4 linked regions of the Mus musculus genome follow. The protein of the gene in region 1 purifies or fractionates together with the protein of each later gene. This does not show direct contact. Links are inferred from orthologs where the notes say so. Each region holds a gene or a part of one and is shown on either strand. Other genes may lie near its edges. The genes, in order: Arhgef7, Pak2, Nck2 and Git2.

Region 1 (4,355 bases):
TTTGTACACTGCGTCCACGAGTAAAATTAAAACAGCATTTTAGCACAGATTATGCTTGGTGGTTTTCTATCCTCTAAAATTCCTGCATCTAGGGTGTGCCTCCTTTGGACAAAATAACCTAGAAGTGTCTGAAGCAGGAGTTTACTAAGGATGGTGCTGCCAAGGCTCAGGGACCCGATGGCTAAGACAGGTTTGGGATCAGAAAAGGGAGGGAACAGGATGGGACCAGCTCAGGCCTGACTCTTCAGAGAACAATCAAAGGGCAAAAGTTTGATCCCCAGAGCTGGGGAAACTTGCCAATCCCAGCCTCCCTCTTTCCTGCAACCAAGAGCCGTGGCAGGCAGCAGGCAGCAGTTAGCAGAACCCCTTACCACCAGTCTGTAGCTCACTCCTCTCGCCTCCAAAGAGAAGTAAACACAGAGGCTTCAGGAAAGGGACCCTAACCCACCATTTTCTTTGCCTGAGCTGGAGCTCAAGGAATGTCCCGTCCCCGCTAGCCAACCCAGTTGTGAAACACAACAGGACGTGCTCTTAATAAAAGACACATGGGAAGCCTTCCTTCGGCACTCATTCCCAGGCCTGGACTCCATTTTAAACTCATGAACTTGAGAAAGGGAAGTCCTACGCTGCTCACAACCCTCCAGTGTCAGCATGCCCACGTAGCAATGGGTCCAGCTAAGACCCTTCACGTGCCGCACATAAGTTCAGCTCTGTTTCCAGGCATTTCCTTTTTAAGGAGAGAGGGTCTCCCTCTGGCATTCCAGCACGGAAGCAAAAGCTGCCCCACACATGTGCTTCAAGACAAATGTGATTCCATGCAGGCATTCATTGCCAAGTGCGGATGACTTCATGGCAGATGCAAACTCGTGGAATCCAGAATTTCAGACAGTGGCTGATGGTTTACTCCCCACAAATACCCCTCACTCAAGAGCCAGGGACTATCTGTACAGGGTCATCAGCCTTCAAAAAGAGAGTTAAAACAACACCGACCCAAGAGATTTCCACTCGACTGTAGTTTCAGAATGTTTGAGACCAATCTAGCTGCCAGAGGCTAGCCCTTTTTATTCATCTCTCTCTGTGTTGTGTCAGAGATGAAAGAGGCGCTGCAACTTCCTCACGGGATCTTTCTAGAATTTAAAATAGAATATGAATTTTTGAAGTTTGCCTGACCACATCAACGCTGCAAACATGTCACGTGACGTGTTCATGGATGGGAACATGTCCATTGACATAGCACAGGAATCTTTTTACAGCTTTGCCTCAGAAACAGAACAGGGTTATCTTTAAGAACCTTAGCATGTGTCTCACTCAGACGTCTGTCTTTTATTATCACCAATGGCCAGGGGACAGCCGGGTTTTCTCAGTGTCTGGCAAGTCACACCCTGCTCTCTTCAGTCGTTGCATCTTAAAATTGTAACTTTATTGATCTGCCCCACTTATAAACAGTGTTTCCCACATCAGTTAGTCCTTCTAAGATGCATGTCGTTTTCAATACAATGTTCAAGAAAACACCTAAAACCTGTGGTACGCATGTGGAACTCATGGTAAATGTTTTCTGACACTGCAGCATGCCAATTTATGAATACAATTAGAATTTCTGCTTTTTCAGGTCACTTAATATGCATTAACAGAGTGTCCTGCCTAGGGCCTGTCTGTGTGTATGTGCATGTGTGTGTGTGTGTGTGTGTGTGTGTGTGTGTACTCCATTAAGAAGTGTTACTTCTTCCTAATTATGGGACACTTCCATTTCTGTACTTAACACCTTTTAAATTACTAAGGATCTTAAGTTTTCTTGTAAACTGTGTATTGGCATAATCTTGAACACAGGACTTTATTATTTTTTGACCTATAAAACATGGTTGTTCTTAGAAGTGCTCCCAACCCCTGACCCGGCCCGCTCTGTGAGCTTACAAACGAAAACAAACTTTGGTCACCCAGAGCGGTGGTCAAGGTTCACACTGCAGAGCCAGGGAGCCAGCAGCCAGCAGCAGCAGGCAGACAGCTCCAAATCTAGCAGGCAGTGAGGATAAAAATTCTGACCCATCCCCAAAGAAATCGGGCTTCAGCACCCTGTGTGCGCTGTTCTGCAGGCTTGGCTGAGTGAAGAATCCCTTGATGGGGAAGGCAGTAAGTCATTTCACAGCTCGGCCCTCCCTTGGCTTTTGATGCATCCTTTAAACATGCCCAGCCACCGGTCCATTCAACGCAAGAGTCAGACTGCAAAGGCAGCGACGAAACCGTTCAAACAAAGCCATCGCAGAAAGCTGCGCGGCACAGAGACGAGGTTTTCCGATCGGTGTCGGCGAGGGGCGAAGCCGACCTCCCAACTTCACGTTAGGGTGGAGCAGAACCCCACCGCCGCCGGCACAGCCAACTCTCCTTCTCGTGACCCCGAGCCGGCCCCGAGCGTCACCGCGGCCCCCTCCGCTGTCTGTGCTCTCAGGGCGGGTCCCCTTCCCGGCGCCCCGCACACAATGGCGCCCCGAACTCCCGCCGCCGGTCCCCGCGCCTTGCGCGCCGCCGGGTCCGCGCACAAAGGAGGGCGCGCGGGCCCCGAGCCGGCGCGCGCCAGGTGCTCCCGCGCGCCCCGCCGCCCGCCGCCCGCCCGGGCCGGGGACCCACCCGAAGACCGTGCCATGGCCACTTACTTTCTCGATGGTCCCGGGCAGCAGGCGCTCCAGCAGCCGGCATAGGACCACCCCGTCCTTGAGCGACGCCTGCAAGAAGACCTCAGGGTCCGAGATGGTTTTCTTGGGCGACTCCAGCACGCCCAGGGTGATGAGCCACGTAACGGTCTGCTCGGCAGAATTCATCGCTGCGGCGGCTCGGGCTGCGCGCACAGAGGGGGCGCCGCGCGCGATCACCTCGGAGCGGCCCGGGCCGCGGCCACCCGCGCCCCCGCCGCCTCCGCGCCCATGGGCGGCCGCGCGCCGGCGATTGGCCCGGCCGGCCCAGCAGGTCCCGCTCCGCTCCGCGGGCTCGCGCGCGCCCTGGCCCGCTGTCAAGTGCCTTTTCATTAGCGGCGCAGGAACCTGCGGGCGCCCGGCACCGCCCCCGCCGCCGCCCCCCGGCCGCGGCCGCCGTCGCCCGATGACATCACCGGAGAAGAAAGACGCGGCGGCCGCCCGCGCGCACCCCGCGCCAGCCCCGGCGCACGACAGCTGGCGCGCCCCCCGCTCACCTGCGCCGCCCGCGCGCCCCGGGGCTGCGCGCCTTTGTGGGTAGGGCGGCGCGCGATTAGTAAGCGCTTCCCAGAATGCTCTCTTGAGCTAGCCCGCCGACTGCGGGGCGCGGGCGTCTCTTCGCCACCTCGCCAGCCGGCGGGGATGGCACGCACATGCTCGTTAGATCTGTGACCAGATGGGTCTCACTCGGGCAGGAACGAGCGTCGGGAACGCGGGCGCGATGCTAAGCGGCTGGCTGCAAGGCCACTGGAGGCGGGGGGCGGGAGCGGAGATGGGGGGCGGCGGGCGCGGACGACCTTAGTAGCCAGAAGCCTTGCATGACTCCTTGTGAAATTGACGGTGACGTGTCCAGCGATCAAGAGCACATCGCAACCTCGGGTGGGTGTCCGCTGGAAAGCGTGCTGTCCACGCTTAGGCCCAGAACTTGGGCGTCCTCTTCCAGCGCAAAGGATGTGTGACAGGAGCCTTGGGGGAAGGGGGGAGTAGGTGAGGGCTCACCGTCAATCGACACATATTTCCACTTACTCCCGCCACTGGTCCTATGCTTTCCCTGCTGGCTGGCACTCCTCGACAGTTTAAAATAAAGCTTGCAGTGTCCCAGGAGACCTTTCCCCTGGGCCAGGCACGCACGTTCATCCAGTAACTGCTCAAGGCTAGAAGCCATGCGATGCTGTCAATTAAAAACAAAAAACAAAAACAAAACAAAAAAATGATCACAGGTTCGACTCTCTTCTCTGCATTCTCCAGGTGCTTCCATCACCACCATCGATTGCGTTTAATAGCATCTTCTGGCTAAATGACTACATTTCTGTTCCAGACACAAACAAAGCATTAAAATAGTGTGAAGTTTGTTGAGGGCCAGCTTCTCTGTGGTGGCAGCTGCCTTCAGAGCAGCGCTAGCCAGCCCTAACCAACCACTGCTGCAATTACGGTGTCTTTACCACCGACAGACCCAAGCCTCACTTTTTGTCCATTTTCCTGGTTACATATGAGAGGTACCCTGCCCTAGGAGCCCCACATCAGCCAGTTTCCCATCTTGCTTCCCTGTGGAGGTCCAGAGAGTGGCAATGCAAAACTGATCACCGACGCCCGAGTCTATCGACCAAAGCTGCTCAACCCGGAAGAAGCTTTCCCTAGTGCTGAATTGAAAAATTTACTCGTTACTATTTT
Region 2 (4,150 bases), on another chromosome or scaffold:
GAGAACTCAGAAGCACAGTCTGCAAGTAGCAACTCCCCTCTAATCAGACAACCATCAGTTACTTCTGTAACTAGCAGTGCTTGAGGAGAGAAAGGCCTGACCTAGTCTCAAGACTGGAACACAGTCCAATTTGAACCAAAGCCAGAAAACTGAAAGCACCGAGTACGGAACATTATTACTGTAATAACCAATACTGATGAAGATAGTAAGGATTCAGCCATAGCTACTAGTTTTATACTTGGCAATTATTTCAAGCTCCTGCATTTTGTAAAAGTATAACTCAGAGTTTATCTTTAGCTAACCAGAACAAGTTTTAAATTTCCTCATTTAAAACACGTAAAACTAGCCTTCATCATGTCTAGTTGGAAACTTGCCTATCATAAAAATCAAAGAAACACGAGAACCTTTTATCAGACATATATCAACTAAAAACTATCACTTCATGAATTTAGGTTTCAGGACACGGATCACAAAGCCCAGAAGAATTAATCTCTTTCTCTCAAAAGGTAAATCTGGAATCAAGGCCCCAAGATAAGTGAAATACCCAAGAATTCTCTTTTTAAAAACATGTCTGCTTGCCCAACACAATGGTAATCTCACTGGCTAGGATTCTGACGCAGATCTTAAGTCCAGAAGTTTGAAACAAACCTGGGTATCATAGAAAGAGGCTGTCTCCAAAGAAAAACAAACAAATACCTGCTTTTGGAAACAAATGAGATATTCTGCAGGCACAGGCTTGCAATCCCAGCTACTAGGGAGGTTGAGAAGAAAACCCCAGTTCAAGGCTTACCTGGTAGGGAAGAGATTCAATACCAGCCTGGGAAACAGTGAGACTGTCTGCACAGAGAAGAGAGGGCTGGGCTTGTAACTCAGTGCTGCAAAGAACACTTGCCTAGCATCACAGGGAGGTCTGCGGTTCAATCCGGTACAAGGGGTTAAAAAGGAGAAAGAAACAGCAGAAACTAACTTCAAGGTACTTTTTCATTCCCTGACATTCCTCCCTAGTGTCAAGACAACTCACTAACCTAAGAACAACCCACAGTACCAAAGGATGGCAGTACTTGATACTAATCCATTTCCCCCATAGCCTGGCAGAGGGAAAGGTAATAATGTACTAGTGAAAACAAGAAGAAAACATTTTTAATTTTGGGCAACCTCTTTTACCAAAACCCAAAAGTTACATTTTCTATCTATCTAAGCAACAATATAAAATTCAGTTTCCCTGATGTAAATGTACAATAGTGTTCCTGGCTAATTAATCTCTAGAAAGACCTAAAAAGAGAGGCTACCAAATATGTTGGCTAACACGTGTAATCCCAGCACACAAGGCTGAGACAGGAAGAGTGTCACAACAGCCTGAGCTGGAATGAGGCCCTGTCTAGGAAAGGCAGAGGATGGGTATAAAAGTATACGAAAAAGGCTTCCTTCACACACACACACACACACCCCAACTGAAGAACTGGGGTAGAGACAAGCAAGAATGTTCTACAAATGCCACAGAGCTTCTGGCAAAGTTGACGTGCCCTAACCTGTTTTAAAAATTACTACTCACTGCCTTCATCCCAACCTAATTTTATTCATACTATTCTTTTGGATAGCTCTACCAAAAAAAAAAAAAAAAAAATCCCCAGAGCAAATTCTTGTGTATTTATTTCAATATCCTGCCTACTTTATAAGAGCGGAAGAGTCGAATACAGCAGGGGAAAAACGTGACGTGCACAACCTTCACCCAAAACACAGCTCAGCTCGTCGTTGTCTAATTTTGGGCCTAACCGGTTTGGTTGTCTTTTTTTAAAAGGTTAGAAACGAAAAGCTGGAAAATCTACAGGTCACTTGTAAAGAAGAACCTGGCGGCTATCGATGGGAGTTGGTGATTTGTCAAAGAGGAAACAAATCTCACTTCCACTCTACCTAGTTCTATTAAGACAGGGGATGGAGAGAGCCTCCTTCCCATCAAGCCACAATGGCAATTATTTAACACACTTCTGTCTTGGACGACTTGATCTAGAACTAATCAAAAGGCTGAGTCCATTAAGTTATTTGCAGCAACTTTTTTTTTTTCTTGTGAGGGCGCGCGTGTTTCAGACAGCCAAACATGGTGAAAAGCCAACCTCAGCCCAAGTTAACCTTAAGAAGCAAATATTCACCTCCTGGCTAAAGATCAAGCAAAAACCGTAAGATCCTTAACTTCTGTTCTTAAACGCAGGCTCCCAGAGCCCGGCAAAAACTTTTTCCTAATGTGGAGGAGGAGGAAGAGTTTACACACTGAACTTAAGGAGCTCGCGACAGGATTCCCGAGCGACGAGACTGCAGAGAACGCAGCTGGTAAAGGAGGGAACATCCAGGAACAAACCCGAGTCGTCCGGTGCAGCGCCGGCGGGAGAGAAGGGCAAGGACGGCCGGAGTGGCCAGGGTCCCCACAGCCCAGCAAGCTTCCTCTCGGCCGAAGCTTAGAGCCAGGGCGCAGACAATGAGCCACCGCCCGGAGCCGCGGGCCCGCCCGCAGGTGCTGGCGTCCCGGGCCGCTGGGCCCAGGCCGCGGAGGCGGGAGGAGGGCGGCGGCTCGGCCCGGCCCGGCCCGGCCCGGGCGAGCGGCAACCGCACTTACCAGAGAGGAAAGGTCTCCGCCCGACCCAGGGCGGGCTGCTTGGCCGACGCGGGCGAGCACTGCGCTGGGGCGCTGAGAGGGAGGAGGGCAGGGCGGAGGGGAGCGGCGCGGGGCGCGGCCGTCGCTACCGAGGCCGTGAGGCGCAGAACCCCTTGGGCCAGGGAGGGGAGGGCAGGAGCCTTCGGCAATGGCGACGGCCCGGGCCGGAGGGGAAGCGGAACAACCGCTGCCGCTGCGCGTGGCCACAACCCTGGGGGAGGGCGGCGGCGGGGGCGCGGGGCGGGGCCGTAAGACAGCCCCGCCCTGAAAGTGGCGTCATGACCCGAGGGGCGGGCTTTCACAGGGCGGCTGGGAACCGTAGTCTAGTCATCTGTTAGGGAGACTCAGGACAGTGGGCGTTACAGAGAAAACCTGTCCCTCATTTATCAGCATTCTGCATTGTCTGCAGTTACGGTTTACCTACTGACAAAGCTGACGGAGAACAGCTGATCCAAACATATTTGTGTGTAGAGGGTCTTTGTTTCTGAGAATGTATCCATTCACCAATTGGTGTTTTGTGGGGAGGGATGGCTTTTCGAGTCCTGGCTGTCCTGGAACTCACTCTGTAGTCCAGGCTGACTTTGAACTAGAGATCCTCCTGCTTCTGCCTCCTGAAGAGGTACTGCCCAGCTCACTTTGTTTTTTGGTTTGGTTTGGTTTGGTTTGGTTTTTTGGAGGCAGGGTTTCTCTGTATAGCCCTGGCTGTCCTGGAACTCACTTTGAAGACCAGGCTGGCCTCGATTAAAGGAATGCGACGCCACCGCTTTTTTTTTTCCTACAAATTTAACCAGATTAAGTTGAATCAGATTATGCTGCTAAATTAGGTCCTCCCTCTTTGCAAAACAAAGATTTTTTTATTTTTCTGTATTTTATCAATGGAGGAGTTAATTCATGTATTCTTATTCCACAACTATGTCAATATCTAATATCTACAAAAGACCATTTAGGTACCAGAAATGAACATGCTTCACCTAGTCTTTGTAAAGGTTAAAAACATGAAAACGGTGGTGGCGCACGCCTTTAATCCCAGAACTCGGGAGGCAGAGGCAGGCAGATTTCTGAGTTCGAGGCCAGACTGGTCTACAGAGTGAGTTCCAGGAAAGCCAGGGCTATACAGAGAAACCCTGTCTCAGAAAAAAAACAACCAAAAAAACGTATGAAAACATAAAAACCAAAACACTGATACCTGTTACAAGGTGGGGAAAAAGCTGAGGGATTACCGTGGACAGAGTGGACAGAGAAGGTGGCAGTTAAAACAGAAAAAGGAACTCGGAAGAACTGAGGGGAAAGGATTACAAGTAGGAAGAGGATTGCCACGGTCAGTGAGAGATGAAGGCTAGGCTCACAACCAAAACCACAAGACTTATGTAGCTGCACCTTGGTGTAAGATGGGTATATTAGAAAGTACTGTAGTAGTTGGGCGAGGTGGCATACTCCTTTAATCCTAGCACTTGGGAGGCAGAGGCAGGCGAATTTCTGAGTTCGAGGCCAGCCTGGTCTACA
Region 3 (3,331 bases), on another chromosome or scaffold:
GAATGTGGACAGCAGGGGCTGCTGAGATGGCTCAGCAAGCAAAGGGCTTGCTTTGTAAGCCCGATGACCAGGGTTTGATCCCTAGATCCCACATAAAAGTGGAGAACCAACTTCCGTGACTTCCACAAACAACAAGCCCCTGCCTCATACATACTACAAGACAAAAAGGTGTAGAGAAATCAGTGTGCTAAGGTCCTCTGAGAGCTCTCATTTGTGTGCCAGTGATGTGTGAATGTGCACACGTTCACATGCATCCAGAGGCCAAGTGTCTTTCACTCTTACTATCGTTCTTTTGAGCCCAGTGCACATGGACTGATTCGAATGCCTCAGCAGCAGGCCTGGGGATGTGTTCAGTGCTAGGATTAGACACGACCAATGCCCAATTTTCTGTGGGTGCCAAGTATCCGAACTCGGGTTCTCATGCTGGGTTAACAGCAGGCACAGGATCCAGCACGTCATCTTCCTTTGGAGGGGAATTTCCCATGACTCCTATAGCTGTTCCTTCCCCAGAAGAGAGTCAGCTCTCCCAAAACACAAACACACAGCCTTGTCATAATACTTTTTTTTATTACAATATTCAAAAAACCGGGTATGCAAGTTTAGGGGATCCCAAGACCCCTTCTTCAATTGTAGGAATGTGCCATCTCAAGACTCTATAGTCAAACTATAAAGAAGTTCAAATGTAAAGAAAAATGAAAATGCAATTTCTTCATAAACATTCTGTTACTACTAATCACATATTCTTTTGTAAACCCTGAAAAATTTCCCTGTAAAGCAAATAATATATATATAATATACACATATTATATATATATATATAGTGTATGTATAAAGTATTGGTAGCTCCCCTTCCCAAGAGATCAGCTGTTTTCCTTAATCATGTTATTAGTGTCAACAACCAGCTACAGATACATATTACTTTGAGAATTAAATACATAATTGTGAAATTCAAACAAGCCCAAGGGCAAAAGCACGATGTGGATGGCACACCTGGGGGACATCACCAGAGTACCTTTCTTTCTGTGTTGCCACCTTCCTCTTTTGCAGACCAACTCTTACCAAAACCCTCTTTTATTGCAAGTACAGCCTCAAAGGCACTGGGCAGTTTTCTCACCACCATCTCCCCAGGGTTTCCAGTATTGCTATCCGCACAGTTTTGGACTCCTGCAGTGCCTGGAGCCAAAATAAAATAAAATTAAAAAATAAAATTGAAAAAAAAAAAAAAGAAAAAGAAAGAAAGAAAGCAAAGCAAAGCAGGCCCAGGACACAGGCTGCCGGTCTGGACCAGCATGCTGACGAGAGGCACCAAACACCCATGGACACAGCTCTCGGAGTGTGTGCCAAGGTCACATATTCACTACATACAGCCTCGCGACCCTCTGAAGCAGCTCCAGTCTTTTAGTCAGTCTCTCTCTCTGCACCCCCCTTCCCTCTCTGTGTATGTGTGTGTAAGGATTCAAACAGGCTGTTTCCAGCTGGAAAGGAAAGAAGTGAGTAGCTTTGCTCCCTCTGACCCTCATCACCAGAAGGTGGTGGCCTGGGGCATGGTTGTGAGGGCCTAGGTAGCCGTGGTTGACCAACAGGGCTGAAAAGAAGGACAGACTGGGCCACAGAGGTGATCCAAGCCACATGGGTGGAGGTGGCCAGAAGTGCTGGGCTCTGGGAGGCAGAGGTGGCAGCGAGGCCCACAGTGGGCAGGGCATGAGGGGGCCAATGGCTGCTTTCACTGTAGGGCTCGGACAAGGTAGAGCTTCTCCCCGTGCTCGCTGGTGAAGATGGGGGCCTTCTTGTAGTGCTCCACAAGCTCGTCCATGCTGTGGAACCGCCGCTGCCCAATGCAGTAGACGCTGTCCACCAGCTGCACCTTGAAGTGCTTGTTTCTCCCTGACGCTTTGAGAGACACGGAGAAGTCACTGGGCTGAGGAGGAAGCAGAAGGGAGTTACCAGCAGGGTAGGCACCTGAGGAGACCAGGGTCTGCCTAACAAGCACAGTGTTCACCCAGTGTCTGCAGACTGACTGGCAGCCCAGCGCTCTCAGGCTCACAATCAAGCGCTAATGAAATTCTGCTTCCATGGATTCGGGGGTAAACGCACAGCACGCTGGGTCTCTGACACGGAGGATCTCGTTACAGAGAGAATGACAGCTGGGTTAACCTCAAGACAGAAGAAACCTGAGATTTCCATTTCCCCAAATTACTTCTGACAAACTGGGAATTATTCAAAGTGGTTTTCATGCAGGCAGAAAACTGGAAGTGTTTCTTCTGATTTCTATTAAAATTTACGCTCTTTAACAATAGATACTGTCAAGGTAGTGGACAACATGGGTGTATCTGAAAGAGTTTGTGATGTCCCACAGATGGCTCCGCAGTGGTTCAAAGAACAAATTTCCGTGAGAAAAGGTTAAATTCTGTGATGAGATCAGTGCCTTACTTATTGAGTATATTTTGGGGTATTCTAGTGTTTTAAATAAAACTGGTCATCTAGCTAATTTCCTGAAAGCCAACAGGAAGGCTATTGAATAGAGGCATCAATTGATTTGATGTTTACTAAATGCTGACTATGTGCCAGGCAACCTATGCCCTACACATATGCTTAAGCCACCCACTTTAAATAACATCCAGTAAGGAAGGTGGGTATGGAGGTTACGCCATGATTGTGAGTAGACACAACTTAGGTGTGTGCTTTGTGTGTATGAAAGAATATGTGCATTTGTGAAAGTTGTATGTAAGAGTGAATGGGAGCGTGAATCATTTGTATGTTTGTGTATGCGTGAGTGTACATATGCTGTACGTATATGTTTGAGCACTTGTGGTGGAGTTAGGAAAGACCTCTACAGTCAAAGGAGCTGAGGCTGAGCTATGGGTGGCAGTGGCTTGCTTGCACCGCATATGGCACCTATGGTGGGGAAAGGAGGACTTACCATTCTGTGGCACTAAAAAGGCAGTGTGGCTCCATAGGAAGGGAAGAGACTCATACCCCAACCCTTCTCACTCCCATTCATGGTGTCCCTGAATTGTGCTTTGTCCCCTGGTTGGCCATTCTCTACAGGCTATTCTCAAAAGTCTAGTTGCCTGGGCAGGGTCGGGATGCCCCTCCGGCCTCCCCTGCAGCAGTTAAGTCCACACCCATGACAGGCCCTTCTAAGTCTGCTCCTGCTTGCTCCTATCCCTGGGAACTTGCTGCTAATCGGGAACCAGTAGCTGGCCCTCTCTCCCAGCAGGGCCTCCATGTGAAATTAACAAAACCCAGCGGGTTGTTTGATAGAGTGGGCAAGTTCTATAGACAAAGAGCCCATGTTTGCCCTTGGCCATTTCAAGATAGGAGCCTGGAG
Region 4 (3,563 bases), on another chromosome or scaffold:
ATCTCTTCCAGAGAAGTAAGTTCTAGGACTCTAGGACAGACTTTTGTCATTTCCCATTGCATTCTTTATGACAGAATGTGATCCTTCATAGTTAATAAAATAACAGGGAAAACAAGGAAAGCTATCCATCTTTCATCAGTTAAATCTGCAGGTTTTAACATTGATTAGGCCCCATGAAGTCCCCTCATGCAGCTCCAGATACTTAGGAGAACACAGTAACAGGCTTGTCCAAGATCTGCCTGTCTTAACCTTGCCCACAGACAGCAGGCAGGCCAGGGCTGCGGCCCTGTGCCGTTTCCAACCCAGTTCTGTTCTTCATGCTTATAGGGAAGCACACCACTCAGTGTGCCATTTCCCTAGCCTTCTTTAATTATTTAATTTTAAAAATTAAGATGTATTGACTTTTACGTATACAATGTTGTCTGCTCATAAGTGTACCGTGTGTGTGCCTGGTGCCCTTGGAGGTCAGAAGAGAGTGCTGGATCTCCTGAAATTGGAGGTACAGATGAGGCACCGTGGTTCTGGAAACTGAACCCTGAACCCCAGTTCTCTGCAGAGCAGATGGCAATCTGAACCACTGAGCCCACTCTCTAGCCACCCCCTCCCAGTTCCTGATCCCTGATCTGTATGCTATAACCTGAAAACCACTGTGCTATGATGACCGGGTGTTAACCACACCAGCTAGGACTCGGCAGTCCTTTCATCTTGTCTGTCTCAGCTGACACACATTTGAAACATCTTCATCAACAAAATAATAGAATGGAAGTCTTTAAAGGGGCTAAACACAAGCCATACCCAGAGTAGTCGCTTAGCAAGGAAAAAAAGAAACGTTCAGCACGCAGTGCAGTGAGAACCTCAGCCTCTCACCTTGCATAGTCAACAGGAGTCTTCCCACTAGAATCTTGTGTGCCTGGGTCAGCTCCATACACGGCCAGCAATTCAGCCTGTAAGATCTGTCCTGCTTTGGAGGCGACGTGGAGTGGAGTGCTTCCTTTTTCCTAAGAATTATTAATAAGAAGTAGACAAAAAGAACAAACTGAGCAGACCTGGACTATCCAAACATAACTCAGCTTCCGTTTAATATCTGAATAATTGACATTTTCGTACAGGATGAAAGAAGTTGGCTTGGGCTCCTAAAGACAACAGTCTCAGACAGGTCTCAAGATTCCCTGTTCTCACACTTGAATGGAGTTGCTGAAAAACAAACAGAAACAGAGTACTTGTCAGAAGTGTCAGGAGAGATGTGCCCGAGCTGCTGGCCGCGCACTCTAACACACTTTACACCAGTAACGGGTCTTGTTTGGCTCAGGAAGATGGCTGGGATGGGTGGGTGGGTGGGTTGGTGGGTTCTTTGCTGTTTACAATGGCTTCAGGCTGCAGGTGGGTCTGTCAGTTTAACAACAAGGAGCTTGGACTGCCAAGGCCAATCTGCCCAGACGCAGGACTTGCCAGTAAGAGGTACAACCATAAACCCAGCAAGAAGCACTTGACCAGGAGGTGGTGTGTGTGTGTGTGTGTGTGTGTGTGTGTGTGTGTGGTTGGATTTCAAGGTCTACCTCCCTCCAGCTGTGTGTTCTGAGAAAATCTCTGAGCAGAGGAACCTGGGTGCTACGGTGCCCTCTACCAGGAGGGTTATGGTGTGTACTGAAGGAGACAGGAAATAATTCAAAACTCAGCTGCTGCCACAGCATCTATCAGTCTTCAGCTGCTGCCACAGCGCGGATCCCAGCGGCTCCAGCCACCCGCGGCACACGCTGGCCACCTGCTCAAGTCTGTGCTGTTTGTCCACACAGCGATTCTGCCAGGCTGCGCTCAGTGGGAAGTGGGCCTGTGCACACTAAATCCGTATCATCACAGAAACGCTTTTAAACTCCCAAAGAACAAATGGCTCTCTCCTTCAGGGCTACTCTACAACTGTCCTGACTGGCTCACAGGGCAGATGAGTCCTACGGAACCAGTCTTTGTTTTTTTTTTTTAATTTTATTTTTAATTGTATGTATGCGTACATCAATGTACACTGAGTGCAGGTGCCAACAGAGGCCAGAAGGGGGTGTCAGGTCCCCGGAGCTGGCGTTAGATGTGCCGTGAGTCATCTCATGAGCCATCTGCAGGAACAGTGTGTGCTCAATCACTGATCCACCTCTCCAGCCCAAGTCATCGCTCTCTTCTTCTTTTTATTCTTCTTCTTATTTTTACACACACACCCTTTACACAAGGACTCACTGTAGCCCAGGCTGACCTGGAACTCACTATATAGACCAAGCTGGCCTTGAATTCACAGCTGTCTGCCTGTCTCTGCCTCCTGAATACCGGGGACTAAAAAAAGATGTGTGCCACCACACCTGGCCATGTTTTTTATTTGGTAAAAAAAGGAAACTATTTACTCACTAGGAAAATCACTTACATCTGTGCAGAATTAGTATTCTGAATTGTGCACACGCTGTCTTGAGTGAGCATCTAGTTCAAAGCACCGCTCAAAAAACTGTGATGTGCATTTTTACGGCATCTCGTAGAAACAGCCAAGGCCCACAAGAAGGCACCGCTCGCGGTGTAACAGACACGGCTGTGCTACAGCTCTAGGTGCACTTTGCCCTCCAGCCTTGAACCTGGACATCTGAAGCAGTCAGCCTCCTTCCTCTGCTCTATTTCAGATGCTAGGTTCTCTAGAAAACCTTCTTTGAAATGGCTATTATTCTCAAGTAAAGAACTTATCAAAATCTATGTGAAAACTGTACCGAAAAAGTACAAATTAATTAATCAATTAAATGAAAATGAAAATAAAAGGGGAAAAAAATACAGTTTCTTAGAAGCGTGTTTTCCTTTTGTCCAGTGTGTCTGAGAGGAGTGAATGCTGTGTAAGGGAGAAAGGTCAGTTAGTCAAAGGCACTTGCAAAAGGCTGCTTCTTCCTCCTGACATGGCTTTAAGGGAAGCGGCCCATCTCACGGCCCCACAGAAGGCAGAGCGCGCCCACCTTACTGAGATCTTTGGCCGTCACGCTGTCGTCCTCGCGGCAGGGCAATCGGTGGACGAACGCTAACATCTGATACTTGGCTCTGATGAATTCTGCTTTATTGGGGCTGGTTTGGAAACAAATAAGAACACAGTTCACTTAACAGCTCTGACACATTTCTCATTCTTTGTGCTGTAAGAAGAGGAAGTGACACCCCCCCCCCCCCACTGGACAGTAAGAAGGGCAAAGCTGGACTCCACTGCAGCAGAGTCAAAGGCCTGAGCTGATAAGAGAACGCCTGAACTTCCCAGCGCCTCTCTTCCCTTTACCTTTCTCAACTGGGCACCCTGAGGAAGCAGCATCTAACCCTGTGTCACAGGCCCGGCACTGCCAGAACGCTGCGGCCAGCAGACAGAGCGCTCGGTTTCATCTACCTCATCACCCGGAGTCAAGCTCCAAGCCCTGGACTCCAACTGGAGAAATCACTAACTTCAATTGGGTGAGCATCCAAAGTTATGGTCCCCCTGCCTCCCTCCCCCTGCCTTCCTCACAGCAAATGCCCAGGCATAGCCCACAGCCCCTTTGGAGGCTGATCAAAATAGCCACACTCCT

The links.
Region 2: the proteins of Arhgef7 (region 1) and Pak2 purify together in Homo sapiens (co-immunoprecipitation; 5 studies listed by BioGRID and IntAct, with this or other methods). This does not show direct contact. The link is inferred for Mus musculus from reciprocal best matches to the Homo sapiens genes ARHGEF7 and PAK2.
Region 3: the proteins of Arhgef7 (region 1) and Nck2 purify together in Homo sapiens (affinity purification with mass spectrometry; 3 studies listed by BioGRID and IntAct, counting the BioPlex papers as one, with this or other methods). This does not show direct contact. The link is inferred for Mus musculus from reciprocal best matches to the Homo sapiens genes ARHGEF7 and NCK2.
Region 4: the proteins of Arhgef7 (region 1) and Git2 purify together in Homo sapiens (affinity purification with mass spectrometry; 6 studies listed by BioGRID and IntAct, counting the BioPlex papers as one, with this or other methods). This does not show direct contact. The link is inferred for Mus musculus from reciprocal best matches to the Homo sapiens genes ARHGEF7 and GIT2.

Annotation. Positions count from the first base shown.
Region 1 is NC_000074.6:11,726,710-11,731,064, reverse strand, and holds the start of Arhgef7 (rho guanine nucleotide exchange factor 7), read right to left. Parts: upstream 2,814-4,355; coding exon 2,649-2,813; intron 1-2,648. UniProt on the Homo sapiens protein: Acts as a RAC1 guanine nucleotide exchange factor (GEF) and can induce membrane ruffling. Functions in cell migration, attachment and cell spreading. Promotes targeting of RAC1 to focal adhesions. May function as a positive regulator of apoptosis.
Region 2 is NC_000082.6:32,076,480-32,080,629, forward strand, and holds the start of Pak2 (serine/threonine-protein kinase PAK 2), read right to left. Parts: upstream 2,864-4,150; 5' UTR 2,609-2,863; intron 2,573-2,608; exon of another isoform or gene 2,354-2,572; intron 1-2,353. UniProt on the Homo sapiens protein: Serine/threonine protein kinase that plays a role in a variety of different signaling pathways including cytoskeleton regulation, cell motility, cell cycle progression, apoptosis or proliferation.
Region 3 is NC_000067.6:43,567,735-43,571,065, reverse strand, and holds the end of Nck2 (cytoplasmic protein NCK2), read right to left. Parts: intron 1,919-3,331; coding exon 1,724-1,918; 3' UTR 548-1,723; downstream 1-547. UniProt on the Homo sapiens protein: Adapter protein which associates with tyrosine-phosphorylated growth factor receptors or their cellular substrates. Maintains low levels of EIF2S1 phosphorylation by promoting its dephosphorylation by PP1.
Region 4 is NC_000071.6:114,763,480-114,767,042, forward strand, and holds part of Git2 (ARF GTPase-activating protein GIT2), read right to left. Parts: intron 3,079-3,563; coding exon 2,973-3,078; intron 1,195-2,972; coding exon 1,108-1,194; intron 999-1,107; coding exon 868-998; intron 1-867. UniProt on the Homo sapiens protein: GTPase-activating protein for ADP ribosylation factor family members, including ARF1.